Linked DNA regions of Elephas maximus indicus. The protein of the gene in region 3 interacts with the protein of the main gene of each other region in a pairwise test. Links are inferred from orthologs where the notes say so. Each region holds a gene or a part of one and is shown on either strand. Other genes may lie near its edges. The genes, in order: CDC42SE1, MYO9A, CDC42 and ARHGDIA.

The links.
Region 1: the proteins of CDC42 (region 3) and CDC42SE1 interact in binary tests that used the Homo sapiens proteins (3 or more experiments, as listed by UniProt). The link is inferred for Elephas maximus indicus from reciprocal best matches to the Homo sapiens genes CDC42 and CDC42SE1.
Region 2: the proteins of CDC42 (region 3) and MYO9A interact in a two-hybrid assay, tested with the Homo sapiens proteins (3 studies listed by BioGRID and IntAct). The link is inferred for Elephas maximus indicus from reciprocal best matches to the Homo sapiens genes CDC42 and MYO9A.
Region 4: the proteins of CDC42 (region 3) and ARHGDIA interact in binary tests that used the Homo sapiens proteins (3 or more experiments, as listed by UniProt). The link is inferred for Elephas maximus indicus from reciprocal best matches to the Homo sapiens genes CDC42 and ARHGDIA.

The regions. Positions count from the first base shown.
Region 1 is NC_064821.1:185,114,744-185,122,154, forward strand, and holds the start of CDC42SE1 (CDC42 small effector protein 1), read right to left. Parts: upstream 3,001-7,411; 5' UTR 2,853-3,000; intron 2,610-2,852; exon of another isoform or gene 2,469-2,609; intron 203-2,468; exon of another isoform or gene 107-202; intron 1-106. UniProt on the Homo sapiens protein: Probably involved in the organization of the actin cytoskeleton by acting downstream of CDC42, inducing actin filament assembly. Alters CDC42-induced cell shape changes.
Region 2 is NC_064831.1:62,409,683-62,416,854, forward strand, and holds the start of MYO9A (unconventional myosin-IXa), read right to left. Parts: upstream 3,013-7,172; 5' UTR 2,929-3,012; intron 2,411-2,928; exon of another isoform or gene 2,322-2,410; intron 1-2,321. UniProt on the Homo sapiens protein: Myosins are actin-based motor molecules with ATPase activity. Unconventional myosins serve in intracellular movements. Regulates Rho by stimulating it's GTPase activity in neurons.
Region 3 is NC_064821.1:62,284,704-62,291,746, reverse strand, and holds the start of CDC42 (cell division control protein 42 homolog), read right to left. Parts: upstream 3,020-7,043; 5' UTR 2,913-3,019; intron 2,270-2,912; exon of another isoform or gene 1,936-2,269; intron 1,919-1,935; exon of another isoform or gene 1,818-1,918; intron 1-1,817. UniProt on the Homo sapiens protein: Plasma membrane-associated small GTPase which cycles between an active GTP-bound and an inactive GDP-bound state. In active state binds to a variety of effector proteins to regulate cellular responses. Involved in epithelial cell polarization processes.
Region 4 is NC_064837.1:71,666,374-71,673,323, forward strand, and holds the start of ARHGDIA (rho GDP-dissociation inhibitor 1), read right to left. Parts: upstream 3,014-6,950; 5' UTR 2,906-3,013; intron 1,341-2,905; 5' UTR 1,320-1,340; coding exon 1,130-1,319; intron 925-1,129; coding exon 841-924; intron 586-840; coding exon 509-585; intron 429-508; coding exon 365-428; intron 242-364; coding exon 42-241; 3' UTR 1-41. UniProt on the Homo sapiens protein: Controls Rho proteins homeostasis. Regulates the GDP/GTP exchange reaction of the Rho proteins by inhibiting the dissociation of GDP from them, and the subsequent binding of GTP to them.

The DNA.
Region 1 (7,411 bases), about 120 Mb from region 3:
GTAGAAGGGGAGGGGCATTTAAGTGACTCTGAAGAGGAAATGGTGGTTTTTCATTTTTTCACAAACAAAGCCTCCACCCTGCCCCTTCCTTTTACCTTGTCTTGCCCTAAACACCTAGATTTTCTTTAAGAACAAGAAAGGCCTTGACCACCAACATCCTAGGAGACTAACTGCAGCACGTTGGACCTCAAAGCTTTCTACGGTAAGCAATTTCTTCCTTCAGTTCACTGCCCTAGTTCCTCCTCATTTCCCTCTACTGAGATGCAACCCCTCCCAGAAGTCAGTTAGCAGTTCCTTTATTACTTGACTTTGAGATTCTTGGCGAAGGCTGTGTACACACTGTTCATCTGTGTATCGCTGTGCTCCTGCATGTATACCTCTGTTCACAAATATGTGGCACGGCTATGTCTCCGTGTGTGTCTTACATACAAAATCTGGGTATAGACTGTAGGTATATGTGCCAGGTAGCCTCTGTTCCATGAGGAAATCTTTTTCCAGTCTCCCCACCCTCTTCACATGTCCTATCCTGTCCTGCTCTGCCTCACAGTTGATAGGGCCCCAGCCTCCTTCCTTTCTCCCCTCATGCTGTGACCTGTTTGCTCCTCCCTCCTCAGCACTTCCATCCCAAGGTTCATTAGCCAACCAGACACAAGGAACTTTCCAATAGCACCAGTGTCCAAGAAAGAAGTTCCTCCCCTTCTCACTACTGCCAGCCATCTGGGTTTCCTCTATATTCACTGGACTTTCCCAGTACAGACAACCTCAAAGATTCTAAACAGGGTGGTTTCATGAATATTACACCGTTAGCATGAATAGGAATCTCCCTTTCTGATGTCCTAGCACCCTCGACTGACCTAAGAAATGAGAGATGTTTTAGCAGTCTTGAGATTACAAAAATACAGAGACACAACTTCTAAGGGAGGGAATGACCTAGGAGTCTGGGCTTTCCCTTACTTTCCTTTTTACTACTTTAGGGGAGGAGTAACCAGACGGGGCGGAAGTGAGAATACAGCCGTCCAGAGAGGGGAGCTGTGGTCAGTGGGGAAGTCAGTCAGTCAGCCACAGGGTTTGTCATGATGGTGGTGGTGGGTGGTAAGGGTTGGGGCAGGGGCAATGGAGAAAACAATGAAGAATCAGAGGAAACCCCCCCCCCGCCCGCTCCAGACAGGCTATACTAGACTGGACTTTCCCCAACATCTCTCGCCCCCCCCCCCTTGCTCAAAGCTGAGTGGACAGACGTGGATGGTGCTGGGAGGGGAGAGGAGAAAAAAGGGGGAGGAGGAGATAGAAGGAAAGGGGCAGTGGAGGAAAACAAGGACTTTCTGTTCCTTTTCCAGGGATCTAGCCAGAGCTGGGTGGAGGAAAAGTGTGTGTGTGGGACTTGGCATGAAATGACCAATGATGATGAGACGTGACCAGGAAATTCCATTCCCCAGGACATCAGGGTCTCTGAAACTTGGGAGTGGGGTAGGAGTGTGGAGAGGACAAGGCAGGGTGACTGCGGGAGGTGAGGAGTGGGACAGAAGGCAAACAAGGCTAGAAAAGGAAGTAAGAGCTACTGGCTGCCACTCTCCTTTAAAGCAGCCAGAGAAGGGTGGGTTGAAGAAACAAAGTCTGAGCTGGTGGACTCAGGAGGACGAAGCACTCAAATCCATTGCCCACTATTTCAACCACACATTCAAATGGAAAGGGCTGGGAAAACAACAGGAGGGATCAGGATAAGGCTACATAAGGCCACATCCTGACAGCCAAGTAGTGCTGAGAACTTGGCTTCTCTGTGCCCCAAATAGGAAGAGTGAAATACAGAGCTGGGAAATACACCCCACCACCAAGGTCACACTAGGACTTAAGGGGACTCAGGCACTGGCTCCCAGCCCAAGACAGAGTTTTTCTTCTTTCTGTGTGAGAAAATGAAAATGAGGTAGCCAGGTGTTCTTTTGGAAAACTCAGGCATCCAAGGTGACCCTGGCCCCCAGGCCTCAAAGCTGTTGAGGGGGTGAGAAGGAGATGGGATGTGAGGAGGGTTCCAGGAAGGAGGGATGTACAGAGGTAGTTCCCTGGTCCGGTTCTAGCCCCAAACCGGTTTTCCCGGTTCCGCTGCCTCCTGCCCCAAGGTCTCCAACCCGCTGCCTGACAAGCCTTCACAAGAACCAACTGGAGAGAAAGAGAAGAGAATTGAGAAAATGGAGTGGGCAATTCTGGCCATAAGCCCAGGGTTGCAGCTGGTCCCTGTGGAGACCCTTGGGACAGGGAGGGGTGCTGAGCAACCCTGGAGACGGGAGGCTGAACCCCACGTTTCAGCAAAGTGACAGGCATTTGCCCCAGCATCAACCCTGCCCTTCCCCAGGAAAGGACTTTTGGAGGCTAAAGAGGAAACGGACCCAGGCTCTAAGCTCCTCCACCCCATTATATTCAGTCACATAAACTCTATTTCTGTCTTCCCCCCACCTCCCGCCATCGCTACCCAGAAATTCTCTGCTCCTCCCCACCTCGAACTTGGATTGGGACCTCTCTGTGGATCTTTCTCTTTTCCGTGGGTGCCTTAGTCTGACTTGGACCTTCCAGGACCCAGCTCCGCTTCACTGTGTCCGGCACGCGCCGCCACAGAGGTTAGTGAAGCTCAGAGAAGTCCCTTTCGCACGTCGCCCCCAACACTCCAGTCCTTTCTTTCTCTCCCACGGGCGCGGATGGGGACTGCTACCAAGCGAGGCACCCTGTTCCCACCGACCCGGCATCTCCACGGCCCCTGCCATCGTCCCTCCCCCCGCCGCATCCGGTGCGTCTCCGCCGGGCGGGTGGCCGGGCGGACGGCCGGGGCGGGCGGGCCGGGGGCACAAACTCGACGGGCTCACCTGCTCTTCTCTGGCATCGAGGCGCCCGGCTGCAGCTGGCGGGACTCCGCTCCGCGCCGCCCGGTGCGGGGTTCCCGGGCTCACTCCCCGGTGCGGTGGGGAGCCGAGGGCGGGCCGGTAGAGGTGGGGCTGGCGGAGGGCGGAAACGGCAGCTACGTGATTACGAAACCCGTGCGGCTCGGCGCCGGGCGCACAGCTCCTCCCTGGACCGACTGGGCGCTGTACCGAAGAGCGGCGGGTAGGGGGCCCGCCGAGACCGCCGAAGGACGCCCCGCCTGACACCTCGATGTGAACACCTCCATAAGGGCCTGGCACCTAAACCGGGCGCCTGGGAATCTCACGCTGCCTTTGCGCGCTGGGCACTGCGGGGCTAAACCAAGCGGAGCCCCGTATCCCCTAGACCCAACCAAGTACGGAGATTCACACAACCCCCGTCTTCTTGTGCTCTACCCAAAATGGAAAAGGGCTAGGTTTATTCACCTATTTGTGAGGGCAAGCAGCAGGGATTAGGGGGACCGGTGAATGAGTTTTTCTGATTCTCAAAAACACATCATAATCTGAAATCCTTAAATTGGGGAAGTAAAGGACACTGCCCTTTCCATTGTCTACAGAGTTAAAATCTTTTAATCCATAAACATAAGATTAAAGCAAAAGACAATTGCTCATTCACTGCACGCCAGTCAGCATGAGGGTGCTGGAAGAGATGGAGAATAATTTAATTGTACAGACCAGACCAGTAAACCTACGGAGATGCCTTAATCCTCTCCCTCCCCTCAAGTGTTCTGGAACCTGTCATTTGGAATAGCCGAGTCAGGCAGGGAGGAGGTGGGGGCGGGGAGTCCTTCCGCCCTTCTTAGGAGGGGCTGCATTGCAGGGGGAGGTTGAGCAGACAGACTCAGTCATTGAGAGCGAGAGAGTGAGAAGACAAAGCCATCAAAGCCTCTGCAGCCTTCTCTCCAGCCCAGAGCAGAACCCGGAGCCCCAGAGGCACTTCACTAGTAATTCATTGATAGCAGGTAAACTAAACTGAGGGAAGGGGAAGGGGGGGAGGGTTGCAAAGATATAAGAGCAGCTTCCTGTGGTTAGGTTGAGAACCCCAGGTGAGGATGAGCTTGGGGGACAGTTCAAGAGGAGAGAAGGGGGCGCTCTGAACAATGGGTAGTTATTTGATCACTGTTTTACATCTCTTTACTAAGATCACCTTGCTTGCTGTCCTTTATATAAATATTTCTAACCATTTACATGTAGTTATTGTCTCTCAGCATTTACCTTCTTATTTCAAGTATTTATTTTTCTGTAACTCATTGTTCTCAGTATTTTAATCTCCAGTCTAACTAATTATACTTTTGTTTTTAAGCTATTATAATTTGATTTACCAGGTTTTTGATGCATCTTTATCCCTACCATATCACTCTAGCCTCTTCTCTGTATTTCCAATTTTTTCCTTATCTTAATGTTTCATTGATGTTACTACCCTCACCCCTAAACTTATTTGTCTCTGTAGGAGGGAATTTTGGGAGGGAGGGATATGGTATAATATTTAGAGTAATCCTGACCTCCCTTTCAGCGGTCTACTCCCCATCTAAAACCTTTGCTCCAAAGAAAGAGGCAGCTTCTGGTAGGAAAGGGGGGGACGCCCTGTGTCGGAAAACTGCTTGATCCCATATTGAAATCAGTATAGCCATGGGAGCTACGTATGGGGACAGATTCTGGAAAAGTAATGTTTATTTGCAGCTCAATGAAATAGGTGGGGGAATGACATGGCTAACAGGAAGATCCAAGCTCAGGGTGAGGTACATACGATGACACACCAGAGAGCGTCCATTCCCGTCTAGCACCCCTCGCCCCTCCGCCATCCCCAGCACCATGGCAGCATGACACAGCAAGGCCCTGTTGGGTAGGCCCTGGATGTCAGTGAGGCCCACAGAGGGTGAGGGCAAGGGGTATTCAACTATGTCTATGTGGCTTAGAGCAGGTGTGTCTTTTTAATCTGTATATTCTCTCATCATGTATCTAAGAATATTAAAAAAAAAAAAAAAAGGGAGAGTTTATTAATTACCTTTGCCTAAGATATCTGGGTAATTTAAAATGAAGGATAATGAGAACATATTATTGTCCATGGTACTGTCCACGCCCTTTCAGATAAGTAAATCATGTAAAGTAGTGCCCATACCACCATGAGGTATGGGTAGAGAATATCTGGACAGAGAGGGAAAGCTAGCTGAAAAGGGACCTTTTGCAAAATGTGGGGGACTTGGAAATTAAAACACATCACATTAAATCTGAATTTCATTACTAATGTAAAGGGAATTTTAACTTTTTTAAGGTGTAGTCGGAAACCCTGGTGGTATAGTGGTTAAAAGCTACCGCTGCTAACCAAAAGGCTCGGCCATTCAAATCCACCAACCGCTCCTTGGAAACCATATGGGGCAGTTCTACCCTATTCTATAGGGCTGCTATGAGTTGGAATTGACTCAAAGGCATTGGTTTTTTTCTTTTTTTTTTTATGGTGTAGTCTTATGTTCCTGACTTGATTTTAAATGCCACATCCACTTGTCTTTCTAGAATGCATTCGGTACTCTCTGTATGTGCCTCTATATGAGTGGTATAACTAGAGATTTTAGGACTTTAGCATTTTGTAAAAATTCCCTTTAGCTTTTTTAATTGCAAGATAAGTTCTTCCAGGCACAGACAGGGACTGTTTGGGCAGTATCTATGTACAAATACACTGAAAAGTTACCAAATTGGGAATGATGAGACATGAATCTATCCAAACTGGCTGAAAGCCACTAGCTAATTTCTAAGGTGCCTTCTACTTTTAAAATTTGATAGGTTTTTTTATTTCCTCCTATGGTTCTTGTTTTTTTTTTTTTTAAGCCTATTATGTGCCCAGCATTATGCTAAGCTCACTCTGGAGGGTACTTGTAAGAGAGGGAATATAAAAGAAGTCAGCTAGCTAAGAAAATACTGGTAGTATTATAAGAAAAAATTCCCTGTGGGCAGAAGTCAATAACACTATTGACTCCTAGGGTTGGCTTCTTAGGATCGCTACGGTCCTAAACTCAAGCAGAGGTTGGTTTATTAGTACCTACAACCATTTTCTGTATCTTTCAGTGCACGTGTCTCTGCAAATGACTGGAGATGATCAGAGCTGAATATTGTAGGATGATGACATCACTTTTCCAGCATGATCCCCACCCTGCTCCAGTCCTCCCTGCATCACCCTCCTTCTAAGCAGCTTCTCTGCTGAGTAATGTTCAGTTCCCCAGGGTTTATTTTGGAACTTGAACCTGCCTAAGAAGAAAAAGAGGAATTTAGAAATTGCTTTTAATATTAAAAACATCTCAGTCTACCCACTCATCACTCCTAAAGCCCCTACACTCTTCCACAAAACCCTGTTCTAGATTAAGATGTCCTTTTTCTGCTTTAGTAATGTCATTTCATATTATATGGGGGCATCTCAGAGCCTGTTGAAGACAGCTAGCTAGGAGTCTCATTCCTTGTGAAAGCTGATGGGGTGTGTTGAAAGGAGGCCTTTTGAAACTTGAGATTTTATTTTTGGAGACAGGGCAATGTTCTTTCTGCTCCTTTGGGAACATTTTAACTAACGCTCCTTCCCTTGGCTAGTAAGCAGCAGGGTGGAGGCTGCAGGGAGATAGAATAGCCATATAATATCAGGGTGTGGGTGAGGTGAGCAGAAAAGGTGATAGAATTAATCATTAAAGCATGAAAAAGTAGCTGATTCTGTTAAAAATCTTCCCCTTTTGATCTAAACTTTGCTTTTATTACCTGGAATTTCTAATCCATTTGCACTCAGTACTATCAGATGTATTCTAGCATTGGGATCAGAGAAAAGGAATCCCATTATAGCATAGGAAAATTCTTTTAGAACCTGGGTTTTGCTCAGAAGGAGCTAGAGAGAAAAAATCTGTTAAGGCAGAACTGTGGGCTATATAGATACAAGATATTCATTGTATTAAATAGCGAGGGAAGATTAGTTAGCAGCTTTAACTGTGCAGAGCTCAGTACTTGCGAAGGTACAGAGAAAGTAGACTTGTATTTACCCTTGGAGAAATTCCAAGTCTTTTGAAGAAGATAAGACCATCACCTACACAAGACACATAATAGTGACTTCTAACCCCAAACAGATATAGTCAGGTAAACTTCTACAGCACTGCTGGGGGGACGCTGGAGGAAATAGGATAGATGGAGCTGGGAAAGTTTAAGGATGTCATCCACAAAGAAATCACTTTATAGTAGAGTTTAGAAGGCAAGAAGGAAAACAGAAATGTCATGGAAAACCTTTTCAGAGGTACCATGACCTAGGCAGGAAGAAATCCAATTTTTGTAAATATAGGAAAGATTCCTCAAGGGACTTATACAGAATCTTGAAACTAGAGTAGTATTTTAAGATGGAGAGTGGAGAGAGTTAAGTAAGACAGAGACGAATGTAACTGTAGCCGAGGATGTGTACTGCTAGGAAGAGTGGGGCCAGATTTTGGAAGGCCTTAAAAACCAGACCCAAGATCGACTTGATGCAGTAAGCAGTAAATAACTCA
Region 2 (7,172 bases), on a different chromosome or scaffold from region 3:
TTTGCCTGCCCTGCTGGTAGTCTTGCCTTTAGCTTTATTCTACCCTTCAATCCACCATCCTTACTGATGCCTAAGTAACCTTTTTAAAAATCAAAATCTGGTCATTTCAGTCCCCTGCTTTATGCCCTTCACCAAGTTATCTGATAAACATTATAACCATCATCAAAGCTAGTCACACCATGGAAGCTCAGAGGCTCAATAAAAAATTCAGTTGTTTTGATTTTTGGAGATGCAACACAAAAAGAATCATTAGGAAATTTTTTTCAAATCCCAAAAACTATTTAAACATATACCTACCATAACTGCTGACACATTTAAAAGAAAAGCACAAAGTATTATTTGTAGAAGCAAAAGTCTGAAAATAACCTCAAGTCCACCAAAATGAAATACTATCCAGCCATTAAATGAGACACTTCCACATGCACTGTTAAAAAGTGATCTCTAGGACCAATTAAAGGAACCCTGGTGGCACGGTGGTTAAGCAATCAGCTGTTAACCAAAAGGTCTGTAGTTCAAATCCACCAGCCGCTCCAAGAGAGACAGATGTGGCAGTCTGCTTCTGTAAAGATTATACCCTCGGAAACCGTATGAGGCAGTTCTACTCTGACCTACGGGGTTGCTATGAGTCAGAATCAACTTGACAGCAACAGTTTGTTTTTTTTGTAAGACCAATTATTAAGGAACCAAAGAACAGAGTGTATAGTATGCAACTGTTTGTGTATGGCATGTGCGTTTTTTAAGAATATAAAGTATAGGCTCAAAAAGGCTCATATCTGCTGGAAATACCAAGGAAGGCTACACAAGAAGCTGGAAATGGTGGTTGACTCTAAAAGGGAAACTGTACGACTAGAGAACAAAACGAAAAGAGAAACTTTTTACTACGTATTCTTTTGAACGTTTTGACTTTTATACCATGTCTAGTTATCATCTATAAATAATTTTAATACGATTTTCTCCCTCCCCAGCCCCGTCACACACACACAAAATAAAAACTAGTCACTACAAAGACCACTCTCTACTTCATTTTCATCCCTTCAAGGGAACTGCTTAAATATGCCAACCTTAAAATTATGCACGGATCACTTGATGCAACATTACATTTCCTTCTTGACAGCTCAGGAGTTCAACTTCAACAAACAATATTTTATTCAATGTTTTACTACTGGGGAGAAGGCCGCTGATAATGACATCAATGTACACGGCATGATTTTTGGACTTGCTCCAAGCACCAAATAGCAGGAATTTATTATAAAATTGACATTCAAATCTTTAGCGATTAAGGGAAAGTTGTAGGTCTTTATTTTCCCAGTAAATTCAAAAACATCAAAAAAAAGTCCCCTAGTCCCCTCCAAAACGGTGTGAAAGAGCCGTAAAAATCTCCAAGTAAATAACATATACAGAGGCACAGTTATGTCAATTAGTGTAACGTGATTTAATTCTTATAGAGGCCCCTAAAATGTCAGATCCGTGCTATCTCACAGATCTGGGCTATCACACGTTCTACAGAAGACAGATGAGGAGCAGCCTCTGTGACCTTGTAATTGTACACACACACCCCGTGCCCTGTGCTTCCCTCTCCCTCCCTCCTTCAGTTGCCAGCTCAAACCCTCCAAACGTAGGTCTCAGTGGGTATAAGCCCTACTGGCGGGGAATACACCAGGCTAAGCAAACTCCCCTCCGGACTCCCTGGCAAAGCCCTTCCAACTAAAGAAAGGATCACAACTGGGGAGAAAGAGAACAGATTTGCCGGAATCTGTGGGAGGGGGTAGGGAAGAGGCCGATGCCTGTGACAGCGTCTAAAGTGGGCCTGACTCCAGATCAACTGGGAGAAAAGACCATCACGAAATGCAGTGTCCTAAAGCCGTGATGGGTCAGGGAAGAGCCAGCGGACTTGGCAGTGAGCAGCTGTGAGGGGGGTCGGGGGGCGGCAGTAGCGACAGCTCTGCCTTGGAGGAGGGGGTCGCAGTGGGTTGAGGGGCGGCCGTGGCTGGGTCTCAGGGGAACTAGGATCGGGTCAGCTTATGGGATGTAACGGAGTCTGGCGGCTCCATTACGGATTCTAAGAGAGTCTGAGGGGGTGCTAGTGGGGTCTGCACAAGCGCCGCGGGGACTGGAGGGCCGGGACAGCGTCCGACCAATGGAAGATACGATGGGTGGGGTCGACCGGGGCCGAGGTCGAGTATCGGGGAGGCTCGGGGTAGACTCGCTCGCGGGGCGTCTCCGCTGCGGCGGGGCGGGGCGGGGCGGCCGTGCAGAAGCCAAGGAGCGAGACAGAGACGTGGGCTGGGCCGGGGCCTCTGGGCGGCTGGGGCGGGTCTTACCTCGGGCTCCGCCGCTGCGGCCACCACAGTCCCCTCCTCGTCGGCGGAAGCCGCGTCCCAGCCTCGGCCCCAGAGTCAGGCCGGAGGAGGCAGCTGAGGTGGAGGCCACACAGGGTCGGACGGTTTCGGGAGGCTGGGCCCGGCTGCTTCAGCGTCCCGGCGAGCGGCCGCCGCGCATCCCCCGCCCTGTCAGACAGACTCCGCCCGGGCTGGGCAGGCACATCCCCCGCCGCACCCCGCCCAGAGAGCACGCGTTGGACCGCCGCCTCGACTGCTGTCGGCCGCTCTGCGGGTGCCGCGGAGACCGCCTCCGCCGCCTCTCACCGTCCTGGTCGGACTTAGCAGCCTCAGCCAACCGCCACCGCCTACCTCGTCTGCTACGGCCCGCGCGGCCCCGACCCCGCGCACACGGCCCCGCCCCGCGCGACTCCTCGGCTGCAGGCGAGCAGGCGCGCGCGCACTTACCTCCCACGCCCCCTACTGAGCGCCCCGCCCCGCCCTGCCCCGCCCCCGAACGTGACGCCGCCGGAGTGTACTAGATGCGCGTGCGTGGACCCGCCCCATTTCTTCCGCCCCAGGCAGCCCCGCCCGAACTCTTCTTCCTCACCTTACGGCACAACTAGAGACTCTGCCTTAGCTTCTTCCCCTCTGCTAGAGGGCAATGTCGCAAGGTTGAGGAGGAAAACTCTGGGTTTGCGACTGTAGCTCTCGCTTTCCGGCCAATACAGAGGAGCTGAAGGCTGGTTGGGGTGGTGAGGCCCGAGGCAGGTAAGGAGCCGCCTCCTTCCTTCGGTTTGTTTGTGAGTTTGTCCCAGCAGAGGACCGCTTTGCCCCCCACACAGACTCTGGCGTATCCGTGCCCCCTCCCCATTCTGGCGCTGGGTTTTCAGCACCGCCCCTCATAGCGTCCGCCCCTTTCCACTACACACCCGCCCCTTCTCCCCGCATGGCCCCGCCCCGACCTCCGGTTTCAGGTCTTCATTGCCGTTCAGTCCTCAGACTTTGACTGAGTGCTGTCTGTTCCTTAAAATAAAAATAAATTTTATTTTAAGGCTGCAGAAAATCAGAGGAGAGTAAAATGGTCGCAGGTTTTTGAAGTGCCGTGTAGTATGGGACACGAAGAAAGAATCTGCAGAACAAAAATTATAATAGAAAAAAAGCACAGGATGCTCTCTGAACACAGAAGAAAAAAAAAAAAAAAACACTTGCCCAATGGAATCAGTTCCAACTCATGGTGACTGTATGTGTGTCAGAGTAGAACTGTGCTCCAAAATGTGTTCAATGGTTAATTCTTCGGAAGCAGATCGCCAGGCCTTTCTTTCCACGCGTCTCTGGGTGGACGCCAGCTGCTAACCTCCAGCCTTTGGGTCAGCAGCCGATCGAACAACCGTTTGCACTACCCAAGGTCTCCTGTTTCACTCTTCAGAAGACCATTAAAAGACTAGTGAGCACTAGCCGAACAAGGACATGAAAGAGGAGGCAGAAGCAGAGACAATAACGAGTGCAAAGGCCTATGACAGTATTCTCCTGGAAGAGTAAAAAGTTAAGAATGTTATATAGCTGGTGGACACCATACTGGTGTAAACTTCTCTTTAAGGAAGCATCTTTGTAAGGGATGAGAGAATATGGGCTACAAGAAATTTTTTTTAAGATAGGAGACTCTTGGGCATAAAAATGTATCATGGGTGGAGAAGTGGGCCAATTCAAGAGAGAACTCGTTGCCATAGATTCAGTTCCAAATCATAGCAACCCTGTAGGATAGAGTAGAGCTGGCCCATAGAGTTTCCAAGGAGTGGCTGGTGGCTCTTAACTACTGTGTCACCAGGGCTCCAATTTAAAGGAGAGAGAGGCTAATTTATAAAATCAACATTTTGATGCAGACCAAAAACCCAGTGCCGTGGAGTCGCTTCCGACTCATAGCGACCCTGTAAGACAGCGTAGAACTGCCCCGTAGAGTTTCCAAGAAGCGCCTGGTGGATTTGAATTGCCGACCCTTTGGTTAGCAGCCGTAGCACTTAACCACTGCACCACCAGGGTTTCCTTTTGATGCAGAGCACTAGTGAAATCTTTATCAGTAGGGTTTCAACCTTGTATGTACTTTATAATCACCTGGGAAGCTTTTTTTCTATTCAACCTAATACTGTTGCCCCATCCTAGACCAATTAAATTCTGAGGTAGGGTCCAGGCATCAGTTTTTGTTTGTTTAATGCTCCCCAGGTGACTCTAATGCTCAGGGTTGAGAACCACTAGACTAGAAAGAAGAGAAGTAGGGAAGAGCAGAAAGTTGGGGGAGTTGATGCTGTGAAATTTAAGATGGGGGTTATTTAATGAAAGAGAAAGTTAGGGATGGGATGAGAAACTTGAGCAGAGCAATAAAAGCTTTGAATAACTGCTCTGGGAAATGGGAGAAACAGCTGCTCCTGCCTTCCCTTTCAGAGTTCCATCCCTCTTACTTAGAGCTCCTTCAGTTACTGCCCTCTTCCTTTTCCTTTCCCTTCCATCTAGTATTTATCAGCAGGGAATCCACCCTTAGAGCTCAGCTTTATATATTCTCACAAAGACTAGAGCTAAGCCAGTTTATGCTATTCAAAGACCAAGACCAACTTACATACCTCTAAAGATTACTTACTACACACAGTACCTTGACAGTTTAGAATCTGTGTTCTATTAGTCATTCATTAATCTTTTAAGAAGTACCAACTATAAGTGAGGACTGAGATATAAAGATGTATAATATACAGCCCTAGTAGATTGAAAGAAAAAAAAAAGGTGATGTCAAATACACTCTGAATCACGGGAATCCCCAGGTGTGTCAGAGTAGGACTTGCTCCATAGAGGTTTCAATGGCTGATTTTTTGAAAGTAGATTGCCAGGTTTTTCTTCAGGATATCTCTTGGCGGACTCACAGCCAAGTGTCTTATTAACCATTTGCGCTACCCAGGTCACAAAGGATTGGGGAAAACAGGCCTTTAAACGAAGAAGAGCTCACTTGGCAGGCAGAAAAGAACAGTTAAGGCAAAGCCCAGAACAGTGCATGCTACTGTCTACTGTCTATTGTCAGCTACCATCAAGTAGGTCCCCGACTCATGGTGACCTCATGCACAACTGAGAGGAACGCTACCCAAACCTGCAGCATCCCCATGATTGATTGCATTTTGGGCCATGTAGTGCCTAGAGTATTTAATGGCTGGTTTTCGGAAGTAGATCGCCAGGCCTGTCTTTTCTTCCTAGTCCATCTTAATCTGGAATCTCTTCGGAAACCTCATCAGCACCATAGCAGTGTGCAGAGGACCACTGATAGACCGGTGGTGGCTGCACACGAGGTGCATTGACAGGGAATTGAACCAGGTCTTAACTAGGGTTAATCCCAAAACCTGTCTGTCTACTTCCAGATAAGATTACTGTTGTGTGGTATGGTCAGAGCATAGTATGGAGAGTAAGGGTGGGGCAGAGATGAAGCTTATAAAGTGGGGTGTGAACAGATTAAGAGAAGCCTAGAATTCCATGCCAAAAAGTTTAGGTTTTATATTGTAACCAATTAATAGATATAAATAATAGAGGTTCTTAACCTCTTTATGCCATGGACAGCTTTGGCATTGTGGCCTGTGGACCCTATCTCAGAATAATGTTTTTAAATGCAGGAAATAAAATATATAGAAATATAAAGGAAACCAATTTTATTGAAACCATTTTTATTTTCAAAATATTAAAGCAAATGTGTAAGTTATATATGTGCTACTTTATGGAGTATGTAATACCAAAAACCAAACCCACTGCTCTCGGGTCCACTCTGACTTATAGGAACCCTTTTTTTTTTTTATAGGACAGAGTAGAACTACCCCATAAAAAAAAAAAAAAAAAAAAAAAACCCCATAGGGTTTCCAAAAAGCGCCTGGTGGATTCAAACTGCCAACCTTTCGGTTAGCAGCCATTTAGCTATTAGCCACTATGCCACCAGGATTTCCCTAATACTTAGCAGCAGGTCTAATTATGTAAAAAAAAAAATTATGTAATTACAAAGTGATAATGAGCTTAAATAGTATCTTTGAGATATTTGTATCTCAACTTTAATGTGATGTGAAAATACCAGATTTCTAACACTAATAAAGATGTAGATATGGCTGATATGGTTTATTGCCTATACTTATAATTGAAGAAAATGCTAAATTTCAGCCAGAGATTATTGAAAATAAATGTAACTTTTTTCCCAGTCCAAGTTCATGAAACCCTTAATTTCTAGCCACAACCTTACCCATAAATCCCAGGTTTAAAAGAACCCTTGGTGTAAAAGTTTTAAGCAACAGCATGACAGATCAGATCTGTGTTTGAGAAAGGTACTAGAGAAGTGTTCACTTTCCATCCTCTCTGTTGAGGTAGAGTGGGAGAATATGGACTGGCTCTTTCTTCTCCTGTTCCTCCTGTACTTCAGTAACAAACAGTACTAATCTATAGCTGCCTAACAATCTGGGCCGGCAGTGGGAATGACCTTGTAGGTGTGTAAGTACATGGGAGCAGTCAAACCATTGACAATGGAGTTGATTCCGACTCACAGCAACCCGATAGGACAGAATAGAACTGGCTCATAGGGTTTCCGAGCCTGTAAATCTTAATGGCAGCAGACTGCCACGTTATTTTCCCGCAGAGCAGCTGGTGGATTTGAACCGCTGACCTTTGGGTTTTTGTTTGGCAGCCAGGCACTTTAACCATTGGGCCACCAGAACAGTACTAGGAAATAAATCAGGAAAAGTAGACTGAATCTATTTTTGTGGAAATCCTTAAATGCCAGACTGTAATTTGTATGTACTTAATTCGATAGACAATGGAGAGATGTTGAAATTCTTGGAGTAGAAT
Region 3 (7,043 bases):
TGTAAGTTAGTAATTTCACTTCAATGAGCCCAAATATGGATACAGCTGATCAAGCACAAAAAGATGCCTTGGGAAACAAAGTACAAGGGCTTATGGAATACGCATAGAGGAAAAATGTCAACCCTTAGACAGCATCAAATTCATCCACCTGACAAATATTTCTTGAGACTTACTTTGTGCCTGGCACTATTCTAGATGCTAGGATATAGGAGTGACCATACCAGGCCAAAGCTCTGCCCTCATAGAGCTTACATGCTAGTGGGAGAGACTGACAACAAACACATTTAGAAAAGAAAACTGAATAAGGAATTATAATAAAAGCCTAGAATGGAGCCCTTTACAAATAGGAGGATATACAGATTCATATATGGGAAATAAGTTAACACACTATTACTCCCTGCTCCCCGAAAAGCCCTGTAGCCTACAGTTCTCATTAGGGGCTCTTCATTGCTCTCAAAAAAGACACTAAAACAATAAACAAATGCATTTAGAAATCTATCCATAAGTACAACTTGACTTTTACTTTCAAGAATGACTATCAATATTACTCATCAGACAGGCACAGCAATTGTAGTTTTCCAAATTTGACAGCTCTTGAATCAAAACATTTTATTAGCATAACCGTTTAACAAGAAATGCTCTTCCAAATAGTCCACAAAAGTGCAAATGGAAAAGCATCCTAAAAAAGAGGAACAAACCTTGAAGTTACAAAAAGACTTCAAGATTTGGTCTTGGTATTCTTTAAGAATCTCACTGATGTTTAAGCCCCGACTACTCAAAGCTGTGTATTTACCTTTAAATTCCAAAGAAAAAAGTTTCACTGAGCACAAGTGTTGGCTACTACATGAAACCATTTTAAGAGTAGACAGAGGATGTTTAAAGACATTACTGGAAGAGCTTATTTTCAATCCTCAATTATTTTGTTGTCTCAGTCTGAAAATTGTTCATTTAAACTATTCTGCTATATTTTTAAGAAGAAAGATGTGAACTGATACACAGAGACTTCTTAAAAATAGAGGACTCGAGAAATAAGGCAGCAGACCAGTGTTTCATTTTTATACTTCTAAAGCAAGATACCACTTTAACGCAAAGAAAACTATTTCAGAAGATTCATGTGCCATACCTATCTTCAACACCCACACTGGAGAAAGCGCATTTAAATCTACCACTTCTTAAAGTTTGTGTTTCTTAACAAACAATCTGTTCTCTCTACACAAATGAGAAACAATAGAAAAGTACTTGTACCAACATGAACTACCCTTTGTAACAATGCATTCACACAACTGAAATTCATCTGCTTTACAATGCTAACATTTTTCTGTGCTACCGTACTCTGTACAAGGATGGAAAATTTAGACTGTACCTCACATTCTTGGGAACAAAAACAGTGATCCCAAAAGCCTAAAAATATCACTCATTTACTTTTTTTGGTAAAAGCTCAAAACTGTTTTGAATTAAAAAACTAAAGTGCCTAGGAAGCAAAACTGATCCTCTCACTACCACACCCTTGCCACAAAGAGAGCAACTGAGGCAATCTAGGTAGGTACCGTGCATCAAACAAGTATATGGGACAAGTCAATCACTCCCGGAAAGTCATTTGGGGGCCAAAAAAATGCACCCACAAATAAGGTGGCTTCGTTCAAGTACAGTCAGAGGGGAATTTTAAAGTTATATTCTATGCAAATGGCTACAGAAAGTGTTGTCTTACGCTTTATTTTCTGTCACAACCTAATTTTGACATTTAAACCTTCCTTTAGATGCAACTGAGGTGGCCAAGAACAAGAGTAACAGGATATCAAAAAAAAAAAAAAAACCACCTCCGAATATGACGCGCTGGGGAGCGGAGCAAGGGAAGTCTCTGGGTGACCCACTGAAACTGCAAAAACGCTGTCTTACTCTGCTGAGTCCCTGACTTGGAGGAGTTAAAACTCTCACCCCTTAGACTGCGATGACGTAATCTTCCACACTGCATTTCTCTAGGATTTAAAGGGGAGGAAAAAAACAAACGAACAAAGAAAATTTCCCCTTAGTAAGAGGAATTAAGCCGACGGCCGAGCGACAGTTTCGGGAGGGGTTAGGTAACTCCCTGAAGGGGAAGCCGCAGCTGAATGAGCCAGGAGAGCGTTAGGTGCTGGAGGAGCAAACGGCAACGCTGTGGGCAACTCTACCTAGGGCAGGAAAAAGGACCCCGGCCAGAGGGCGACCGGACCCACCCTGCCCCGAGAAGCCGGCGAGCTGGGCGGCCGCGGCGGGAAGGGCGTCGCAGGCCCGGCCGGGCCACTCCGCAAACTGCCCCCTCCCCGCCCGCCACTTCCCCGCCGCGGTCGCGAGGCCGCTCCCCTCCCCCCGCCCGCCGCAAAATGTCCGCGGCGGCGCCCGGCGAAGCAGGAAGTCGAAGCCGAGCGCAGTGGGCAGCACCCAGCCTTCGAGCCCCGGCCACCGACACGTCCTCCGCCTCCAGCGCCCGCGCGCGGCTCCGTGAAGCGGGGCCCCAGGCGCCCCAGCCCGGCCGCCCGCCCTTGGGTGCCCACGGGGCCCGGCCGGAGGGGGAGGGGGACCCGGGCGGCCGGGATGGGTGTGACCCCTTCCTTCCGCCGCTGCCCGGTGACAGCCCGGCCCCGCCCGTGCCCTCGGGCCGACACCCGGAGCACCGGCCCCGCGCCTCGCAGCGGGCGCGCACCCTGCCTTCCCCGCCGCGACTCCCGCCCCTTAGTGCCCCTACAGAACGCGGACCCGCGCTCGCCCGGAGGGCGCAGCGCGAGCCGGGCACCCTCCCGCGTTCCGCGCTCCCAGCCGTCCCAGAATCCCGGAGACCACGGGTCCCCGAGAATGGGGAAAGACTGGGGGCGACGCGGTAGGGACAAGACGATGGGGGAGTCGCTCCCTCGGGGAGCCTGAGGCCCCGCACTCACCTCAGCTTCTCCGCCGGGGCGTTGGCAGCACTGCGCGGGGTCTCCTCGACTGCCGGACAGGGGCACGCACCTGACGTCACCACGCAGGAGACGCACGGCTGGGTGCCCGCGGAAGTGGGAGGGATGGAGAGGGGAGGAAGAGGCTGGGACGGCTCGAGGCGGAGCCTAAATTCCTCCTCCGCCTCCGCTGCGCTGGACCAACGCGCACGCGCAAGACCGGAATGGCTCACGTGTTTAGTATTCAACTCGGCACCTCTTTCCCCAGTGCTTGCTGTTCAAAAACTAGAAAGAATAGTTTGCAGAACACACCAATGACATTTCTTTTGATCCTTGCTACCCTGGGAAGCAAAGTATTATCGTTCCTATTTTGCAGAGAGGACAGAGGCTTCTCAGAGACTGGCAGTGATTTACCCGAGATCACACAGCAAGTGGGTGGCCTCCTGGCTCCCCAGGTCTGTATTCAGTCCGCTGTGGTGTGAGAGCTGCGTGCACCCCACTGTCCCTCGCTTCAGCCACAAAGGTCTTCTTTTGTTTCAGAGACTTCCTCCCCACCGTAGGGCTTTGCACTTGTTGGTTGACTTTCTCAGCCCTCTAACGTCCCGGTCTTCCCTATCATCCTACCCTCACCAAAACCAAAACCAAACCCAGCGCTGTCGAGTCGATTCCAACTCATAGCGACCCTATAGGACAGAGTAGAACTGCCCCATAGAGTTTCCAAAGAGCAGCCTGGTGGAATCGAACTGCTGATCCTTTGATTAGCAGCAGTAGCACTTAACCACTACGCCACCAGGGTTTCTCCTACCCTCAAAAAAAAAAAAAAAACCCTCAGAGCACCTGTTTATTATGTTGCCGCCGCTAGCTTTCAGGCTCCGGGAGAATAGGAACCTTCTCTGTCTTATTCTCACATGTTTCCCAATGTTCAGAGAAAAATAGTTTATCCTAGTAATAGTTAATATGTTGCTTACTGCCACAGCTATTTCGCCAACAAAGATAAAATTCCAATATATTTCATTTAATCATCATATTTTCTCTTGGACTTTTTAATTCCACAAAAAATAACCACATTTTTCAGTGTATACTATAAGCGTGGTGCTAACAACTTTGCATGTAGGAGTAAACAATTTCTAAGAATCACCCTGTGAAGTAAGCACTATTGTCGCCATTTTATGGATGAGTGAACTGAAACTCAGCGATGTTAAGAAACTTGCCAAAGGTCACCCAGCCAGGCAGTGGCAGAGGAGGGGCTTGGACCTAGGCTCTTGGACCCAGGAGCCTGGCTCTAGTTTGACCACTACACTATCTTACAACCCAGTAGGTTTATTATACAGAAATCAGAAGATAAACTTCAGGTCTAATCCTACCCTCATGGATACCAGCTATTAACATTTTGGTGAGTACCTTTCCAGACTTTTTTCTATGTATATGTATGTTTAAGGAACCCTGGTGGAACAATGGTTAAGCACTCAGCTGCTAACCAAAAGGTCAGTGGTTAGAAACCACCAGCCACTCTGCTGGAGAAAGATGTGGCAGCCTGCTCCTATAAAGATTACATCCTTGGAAACCCTATGGGGCAGTTCTACTCAGTCCTATACGGTCGCAATGAGTTGGAATCAACTCAAGAGCTATTGGTTTGGTTTGGTTTATATATACATTTATTTTTACCAAAATAAGATCGTGACCCGCTTTTCTCTCTCAAAACATTATGAACATCTTTCCATGTCAAATAAAGCAACATTTTTGCTAACCAAGAGGTCGACAGTTCAAATCTACCAGCCGCTCCTTGGAAACCCTATGGAGCAATTCTATTCTGTCCTGTAGGGTCCTGTGATTTGGAATCGACTCAACGGCAGTGAGTTTGGGTTTTTGTTTTTTGGTTTTTTTTTTTGGTGTTCTACTATATGGGTATTATAGAATTTATCCAATCTCCTATTGTTCAAGACTTAGGCTGCTTTTGGCTATTTTATTTTTTTTGAAAACTTGTAAATTTTTGACTACTGTAAAAATGCGTAAGCTTAGTTTCTGAAACTTGAAAAGTGGTTGTGTTTTCTCCCTCTGCAAAGCCAGTTTGCAATGACATTTCCTTCATCCCGTCTCACAATCTCATGAATGTCCCCAGACAATGCCTGCCCTTTCCATAGCAGCAATATCTTGATGGGGTGTCACCCAACTGCTCAACTTCTCTTGCCTTCATTCAGAGGACAAGGACTTTGTCTATTATGTTGTCAGATTTTTATCAGGAAGGCCCTCCCAGACCTTTTCACAGCCCCAAATGTCAGTGGCATCACAACTTGACCCCAGTCTACCCCATCCCTTGCTGCTGGCCCAGCCTGCTAGTGTCTCCTCCTCACTGCCCCACTGGCTACAGCTGCTTCATATTAACAGGAGAGGCAGCCCGTGGATATCCAGCCCTCCCTCCCCCACTCTCCGTTTGCCAGCCCACTGTCAATTTCTCCTACTTCTGGTAACAACACTTCACTTCTCCTGAGAAGTCTCTTACCCAATTCTCGATTCCTGTAACTCCAGAGGAGGTGGCTCTACCTCCAGTTGCAGGGATGGACATGTGACCCAGGTTTGGCAAATCAAAGAATTTATAGAGAGTCCTCTTGCCACAGCACTTCAGCAATGGACTTGTGACCTAATGAGAACAAATAAGATTCAATTCTGGGACTTTGATCAGAACCTTCATGTTGAATGAATATATCTGCTGAGGGCAGGATGTAATCGTGGCACGGCTGGCAGCCATCCCACTGCAAGGAGAGAGACTGTCTGAGCATAAGACCAAGACAAAAAGGGAAAAACAGAGCTGATGGATGGAGACAGTGAAACCAAGTCCCAGTGGCATTGTTTGAGTCCCTAGACTCAGCCTTGCTCCAGTTTTCAATCACATGAGCCAATAAATTCTCTCTATTGGTTAAGCCAGGGTGAGTAGGTTTCTGTCGCTTGCAACTACAAGACCCCTGATGACTCGCTTTGCCACCTCTGGCCCCTATGTCTGCCCATGTGTGGTACTTGCCACCACCCTCTATGTAGAAGACTCCCAAGTCTCTACCTCCTCCAACCCCTATTCCCACCCCTATTTCCAAATTTCCAGCTACCTAGAAGTCCTACCAACTCAAAACCCATTGCCATTGAGTTGATTCCAACTCACAGCTACCCTATAGGAAAGGGTAGAGCTGCCCCATAGGGTTTCCAAGGAGCAACTGGTGGATTCAAACTGCTGACCTTTTGGTTAGCAGCCAAGCTCTTTAACCACAGCACCACCAGGGCTCCCTGAGTTCCACTAGCAACAGTGAAATCATCCTTCAGCTCCCACCTGCTCCAGGTTCTGTGGTCCCTATATCTGCTCTTGGCCTCTGTACCCTTCTATATTCAGGATTTCCCAACCTTTGCTGCATCAGAGAAAAGGTGTATAACCCCATGCCCACAAAATTAATATCCAATTTCTAGAGGCTTGCTTTATGATTTTCTGTTTTAATCTTGATCTCAGCTCTGATTAAGTCACTCCCTGCTCAAAAACCGTCAGTGTCTTCCTCCTTGGTCTTCAAAATAAAATTCAAAGTCCTTTAGCCAGGCATTCTGGGTCCCCCATGATCTGGCACCAACTTATCTTTCCAACCTTATTCCCCTTTCCTTTCCATCACACACTTAAAGCTGCAGCTAGACTGAATTACTTTAGGATTATGCATATAGGTACCGTGATTTCTCACCTCTGTGACCATGCTCACACTGTTCCCCTAGCCTAGCACACCTCTCCCACTCATACATCCTATCTCTCAACTCCCACTTGCCTTCCCACTATGAACTGAACCTTCCGCCAACACTGATCTTGCTCTTATCTTAAATGGGCTGTGTCCTTTCACCTCTATGCCTCTGTATATTCGGTGGTTCCATTCTCTGTCTGCCAGACTTCTCTCTTTCAAGGACTAGGGTAGACCTTGGCTCTAAAGCCTTCCCTGACAACCCCAGACAGCCAGTCATTCCAGTAATATCTAAAGTATACCAGTTGCCATTGAGTTGATTCCTACTCATGGTGACCCCATGTGTATCGGCATAGAACTGTGCTCCTTAGGGTTTTCAATAGCTGAGTCTTCTAAAGTAGATCACCGGGACTTTGTTTTCAGGCACCTCTGG
Region 4 (6,950 bases), on a different chromosome or scaffold from region 3:
TACGTCCGTCTGTCCCTCCCTGTCTTCCTCCCAGCCAGGGCTCAGTCCTTCCAGTCCTTTTTGATGGTGAGGTTCCACTCCCAAGACAGGTGGTCTGTCTTGTCGTCATCCGTGAAGTGGGACTTGACAGTGTAGCTGCCCCGTGCCAGCATGCCCTTGGGTGCCTCCTCCATGGGGGTCAGAAACTCATACTCCTCTGCCCGTGGCCCGTAGCTGCCCACCATGTAGTCGGTCTTGTCAACTGCAGCCACAGGGACCCCCCCATCAGTGCTGCCCCACCTCCTTCCACCCCCTCCCACCCCACCTGTGCCGGGGTGGCTGTCTGGGGGAGGGCAAGGCACAGAAGAAACACAGGTGCACTCACTCTTAATGCCTTTCCTGTAGGTGTGCTGGATGTACTTCATGCCAGACACAATTTCTCTGTTCACCTGGGGACAGCAGCCGGTCAGCCCCTCAGCCAGCCCGGCCCTCCCTGCAGCCCCGTACCGGCAGCCCCCACCCTCCTTACCCGGAAAGAGATTTTTATCCGGTATTCCACGCCTTCCTTAAGTACGAACGACTGCTTCTTGAAGCTCTCCAGGTCTCCTGCGGACAGAGACTCTCAGAGAAGTCTGTGGTTCATCCTATACACCTCAGACCTGCATCAGCCTAGTCCCTCCATGCCAGCACATGGACACACATGCCCCGGTGCAGGCACCCCAACTCTTCAGGCTGTTCCGGGGCCAAAACCCTTCAAAGGCCACCTGGTTGCAGCTGATGTTCCCCACCACAGGGCACCAATGCTCAGGGAAAGCAACAGGGTGCCACCGGCCCCACCCAGGAATCCTGGCTGCCACGCACCTGTCAGGTCCAGTTCCAGGGGGCCTGGGGCGGTGCTGCACACCAGGGTCAGCCGTGTCACGATGACATTGGGGACGTTGGGGTCTGGGGATGGACAGAAAATCAGCGCCCCAGTCCTTGGTAACCCACGAGGGGGGCGGGACGCAGGGGAAGCAGTGGCCTCACCAGCAGAAATGGCTGCGTGGCCCAGCAGGACCTCCTTGTACTTGGTAACCCACCAGAGCAGGACAGGGGGGCAGCAGATAAAACTCAGAGGAAAGGCTGCCTGGGGGAACAGTGGGGTCCTCACCGGCAGACACGGCCACGCGGCCCAGCAGGGCCTCCTTGTACTTGCGCAGACTCTCATCGTCCTTGTCCAGCTCCTGGATCTCCTGGATGCTCTTCTGGGCCGGTGGCTTGTAGTTAACCGAGTGCTCGTCCTCCTCATTCTCAGCTGCAATCTGTGCCAGCTGCTCAGCGGTGGGCTCCTGCTCAGCCATGCTCACTCACCTCTGGGATGCCTGGGGGTCGGCAGGAGCTGTGGCAGCCTGGAGGAAAGCCTGTGCCCCCTGGGACCCTGCCACTAAAGAAGCCAGCCCTCCAGCCCCCTGCAGGCCACTCCTAAAGGAGGAAAACAGGAAGGGGGCTCCTGCTGCAGCCAACGTGTGCCTGAGGAACAGAGAGTGCCCAAGGAACAGCTTTCTGCAACTCAGAAAGAACCCACATGTATCCCAGGCCTGCCCACCTCAGGGGAGTCATGCTGGGGGGGGAGGGGGCGTGGGCAGTGCAAGGCACCACGCAGACAAGGCACCCAGGACTGAATGGGCACCACTGCCCTGCTCCCTCAGGGACCCAAGGGAAGGGGGTGAGGCTGGGGCACCTCATGACCTAGCTACTCCCAGAGCCACCCGGCAGGGCCTGAGTGGATCACCTCTAAAGACTCGGGATATTGCTGCCCAAGCCCGCTGCCATGACCCCCACCGGTCAGTGAGCTCAGCCTCCCTGTAAGGGCCACTCCTCTGACCCAGACCCTACCCCCCATAATGAAACCTTTAAGCAGAACACAGGCTCCGACTCAACCTGCTAACATCAAGCTCTTCTGGAGCTCAGCTCCACAGGGGCCTCCGCGGGACACGAGGCCAGCCCCAAGTTTCTGCCAAGGTTCCCTCCAACTGTGTGAGTTTGTGACCAAGAGTCCCCAGAAAAGTCACACGGGGCTTTCCCGCTAGGGACCCACATTCTGCTCCCACTGGAATTCTCCAACCGGGATTCCCCAACGTTTGCTGAAAACCCGCTCAATCGTTTCAAGCTCTCAGGCTTTTCCGGGAAAAGTAACCAACCCCAGAAACAGGCCTACTTCAAAACTGGGATGCACGTAGTGGCCCCAGGGTTGGGCCTCGGAGCCGCCGCAGGCCCTCCCTCGCCTCCCGCTCGCTGCCCCCCAGGATTCCTCTAGGATTTCTTGAAAGGCGCGGGCCCGGGGCGCAGCAGGGTGGCCTCAGGGCAGCTCTGCCTCGAGAGCGCGCGCCCCGCCGCCAGCACTTCCGTGCGGCCCTGCAATCTGGGCGGGCGAGGCCCGGCGGGGCGCGGCGGGGCGGGGCTGCCGCGGTGCACGAAGACCCGCGCGCCCCACCGCTGGCGCGCCCCGAGGGTCCACAGGCCCCGGGCTCTGCCAGCCGCCTCACGTGCCGGATGCGGGGCGCATCAGGCTCGGGTGCAGGCAGGTGGGTGCGCATCGGCGGGGCCGGGCAGCCAGCCGGATGGCCACAGCGAGGCCCCTCCCCGCCTCAGGCGCTTCCTCCCTGGCTCCGCGCCGCCTCCGCCCCGGACGGCACGTGCGGCCGCCGCCAGCCCGGGGTCCGCGCCCTCCGCTCCCCGGCCACCGCGCGGGCCAGGCCCGATTGTCACCGCCGCGCGCAGCGCCGTCCTCGCGCCCGGATCCCGCCGGGATCCCCAGGCCGGGCCGCAGGGCGGGGCAGGGCGGGGCTGCGGAAACAAAGCCGGCGGCGCGCGCCCCTCACCCGCCCGCGCGGCCCCATCTCGTCCCGTCCACCGCCCCGCCACCCCGCCGCCCGCGGGCACTCACCGGAGGGTTCGACCGCGCGGCCTTTCGCTCCCTCCCGCACGAAGTGACGAACGTCGCGGCGACCCACCCGCCTGCCAGCCCGTTTGTCACTTCCGGGGTCACGCGACTTCCGCTCCCAGGCGGGCTGGGCCACACCCGGGGCGCATGCGCGGGCAGGGCCGGGTCGGAGAGCGCATGCGCAAGGCGCGGGCGTGCGGGTGGCGGCCAGGAGCGCGTCGCCGCCATCTTGGGCTGGGGCTTTGCGGGGCGGTCCCGCGTGGGCGGGCGGAGGGGCTGGGCCGGAGACCGGATGCGGCTTTGTGTTTTCTTCTTTGCTTCTGATATCTGGGTGCTGTGACTCTCTTGGTTGCTTAAGCACCTCGGGGTACGGCCTCTCGGCCGCCGCGCCCTCCTTCACTTTTTGTAACGAGATGTGCAGAGACGGTGTGACCGAGCTCATGTCCACCGCCCAGACTGAGCAGCTTTGTCGATTATATTGATCTATTAACTGAACGTTTTGATACAGCTTGCTTTTAACCTGGAAGCATTTAAAATCACAGGTCATGTTATCGCCCTTCCAGGCAATTAACACGCATCTTTAAAATAAGCGTGTCCCTTCACGTACACACGGTTGCAGCATCACACTGAACCCAAAAGCCCGCCATCCACCCCAAATGTTTCTCCCAGAGGGTCGCCCTAACTGGCCTTTTGTCCTCCAACTCGGACCGTCCGCATCGCATTGCTCCTCTTGGTGCCACCTGGCAATGTCCCGTGTCCTGAGGCTTCCTACGAGCTTAAGTGAGCACTCAGCATTGGGTTAGGTTCTGAGGGAACGCTGGGGAGACGGTTCCCAGGCGTCTGGTCAGGTCCCTGCGTGTGGGCCACAGTGTCCCCACTGCCCTGCCCTGTATACTGCTCGTGCTGATGAGCAAGGCCGTGGATACCAGCATCTTCTGGAAACCACCCACACCTAGCCAAGGGCCTGAACCTTTGCTGACTGTCCACACCTTGCAGAGGCCCGAGGCTTCTCCTCTGCCAGTCTCTCCTTTCAGCCCCTTCAGGGCCGACTTCGAATCACAGGGTTCTTCAAGCCCAGCACACTGTCTTCTTCGCTGGGGGATCACTTCAGAGGCATCCCATTACCGAGCAATTCCATGATTGTCAAGTGAAGGAAGTTCCTGGCACTGATGCTCCGCCTCACCTACACCACAGGCCCTGACTCCCTCACCACATCCCAACGCTGGGTGCTGGGTCTCTTTCACTTATTGGTGTCCAAGGCTGGAAGGGCATATATTCTAAATGTGGTTGTTGTTAGGTGCCCTTGAGTTGATTTCTACTCATATCGACCTCATGTGACAGAGTAGAACTGCCCCAAAGAATTTTCTTGGCTATGTACAATCTTTATGGAGCAGATCACCAGGTCTTTTCTCCCAGTCTGTGAGTGGGTTGGAGCTCCCAACCTTGCAGTTAGCTGCTGAGTGCTTAATGGTTGCACCACCAGGGCTCCTGTCTTAGTTATATAATGCTGCAAGTAGACTAGAAGTCCAAATCCAGAGCACCACTTCCAGGGGAAGGCTTTCTCTGTCGGTTCTGGGGGAAGGTCCTTGTCATCAATCTTTCCCTGGTTTAGGAGCTTCTCAGCACAGGGGCCCCAAGTCAAAGGACGCACTCTGCTCCTGACGCTTCTTGCTTGATGGTACTGAAGCCCCTCTCTTCTCTGCTTGCTTCTCTCCTTTATATCTCAAAAGAGATGAACTCAAGATACAACGTAATCCTGTAGACTGTGTCCTGCCTCATTAACATCATACCCAACCCAGTGCCGTTGAGTCGATTCCAACTCATAAATCAACATCATAGACGTTAGGATTTACAATACATAGGATAACTACATCAGATCACAAAATGGAGGGCAACTGCGCAGTACTGGGAATCATGACACATATTTTGGGGGGACATAATTCAATCCGTAACAGCTTCTTTACATTCTGGATACAAGTCCATTGACTTTATGATTGCAGATATTTTCTGTAGCTTTTTTAAAATTATTTTTTGTTGAGAATATACACAGCAGAACATATACCAATTCAACAGTTTCTACATGTACAAATTCAGTGACATTGATTACATTCTAGTTGTGCAACCATTCTCACTTTTTTCTGAGCTGTTCCTCCTCCATTAACATAAACTCATTGCCCCCTGAGCTTCTTATCTAATCTTTCAAGTTGCTGTCATCAATTTGATCCCATAGATTAATCTTAAAAAAGCACAATGCTCAAGGCAAATGTTCTTTACTAGCTATTGTTTGGTTTTAAGATGACTTTAGGGGATATTTTTGTTTTAAGGTTTAGATAATCTCAGGGCAATCATTTCAGGGTTCATCTAGCCTCCATGGCTCCAGAAAGATTTGGATTCCATGAAAATTTGAAATTCTTCTGCATTTCCCCGCTTTAGACCAGAATTCTTCTATAGAATCATTGATTAAAATGTTCAGTAATGGCAGCAGGATACCATCCAGTTCTGGTCTCATAGCAAAGGAGGCAGTTGTTCATGGAGGCAATAAGCCGCACATTCCATTTCCTCCTTTCATTTCTGACTCTTCTTCCTGTTGCTCCAGGGGAATAGAGACCAATTGTTGAGCCTTGGATGTTTGCAAGCCTTTAAGACCCCAGGCATCGAACTAGGAGGTTGAACAGAAGCACTAAACACATTATTAGGACAGTTAACTGGGATGTTCCATGAAACCATGACTCTAAACCTCCAAATTAAGGAACCCAATTCCATGAGGTGTTCGACAGTACATAAGCAGCCTCGGCAGCTTTTTTTTTTTTTTGGTCATTGTAAATGTATCTACTACACTTTTACCAATTCAGCTTTTTACAGGTGTACAACTTATTGACAGCAACTACATAAATCTACTGTGCAACCCTACCCTTCATGAGATTTTTCTATCACCATAAACTGAAACTCAGTACAGGTAGTCCCCAACATCATTGAGTTACCATTTTTTTTTTTTAAATACATCTTATCCTTAGCAATAGGTATTACATACAATGTTGCAATGTGTACTTTGCTGACGTTATCATGCTCAGATGTTCACTCACAGATGTTCAATGTTGTAATTTGCTGTTCACAAAACTGCTGTACAGCAGGCTATGAAAACTAAAAAAAAAAAAAAAGTATTCAACTTATGTCAGAACAGACTCTTACAATGGCATTATCGGACCAGAACCCCAACCTAAGCTGGGGACTCCATAAGCAATAATTGTCTTTCATTGTCTTAATGGTGTCTTTTGAAGGGAAAATTTTTATTTTCATGAAGTCCAAATCGTCAACTTCTTCCTTCATGTTTCTTTCTTTTGGTGTCATTGCTAAGAACTCTTTTGCCTAACCTAAGGTCGTGAAGATTTTTCCCTGTATTTTCTTCTTTTATAGTTTCAGCTGTGGCATTTAGGTCTACAATCCATTTTTTTGGTTAATTTTTGTATTTGTATATGGTGTGAAGTCAGTGTTTCATCTTTGTCCCATCACCATTTGTTGAAAAGACTATAATTTCCTCCACTGAACTGTCTTGCCACTGGTGTTGAAAATTTATTCACTGTAGACATAAGGGTTTATTTCTGAACTCTCAGTTCTGCTCCATTTAGTCCACATCCTTATTCAATATCAAAACATCACGATGACTATAGCTCTATCATAAGTTTTGAAATTAGGTAGTGTAAGTTTCTAACTTCATTCTTTCCAAAATTGTTTTACCTATCCTAGGTCCAGTGATTTTCCATATAAATTTCTTAAAATCAGCTATTAATTTCTCAAAATAAAATCCCAGTGGGAATTTGATAGGGATTGCACTGACTCTACAGGACAATTTGGTAAGAACTGCTATCTTAACAATATTGAGTCTTCCAGTCAACGAACAATTCTGTGCATTTGTTTGGGTCTTCTTTAATTCAGCAGTATTTTGTAGTTTTCAGCATATACAGGTCTGGCACTTTTGTTAAATTTGTTCCTCAGTATTTTATTCATTTTGATACTGTTGTGAGTGGCATTATTTACTTAATTTCATTTT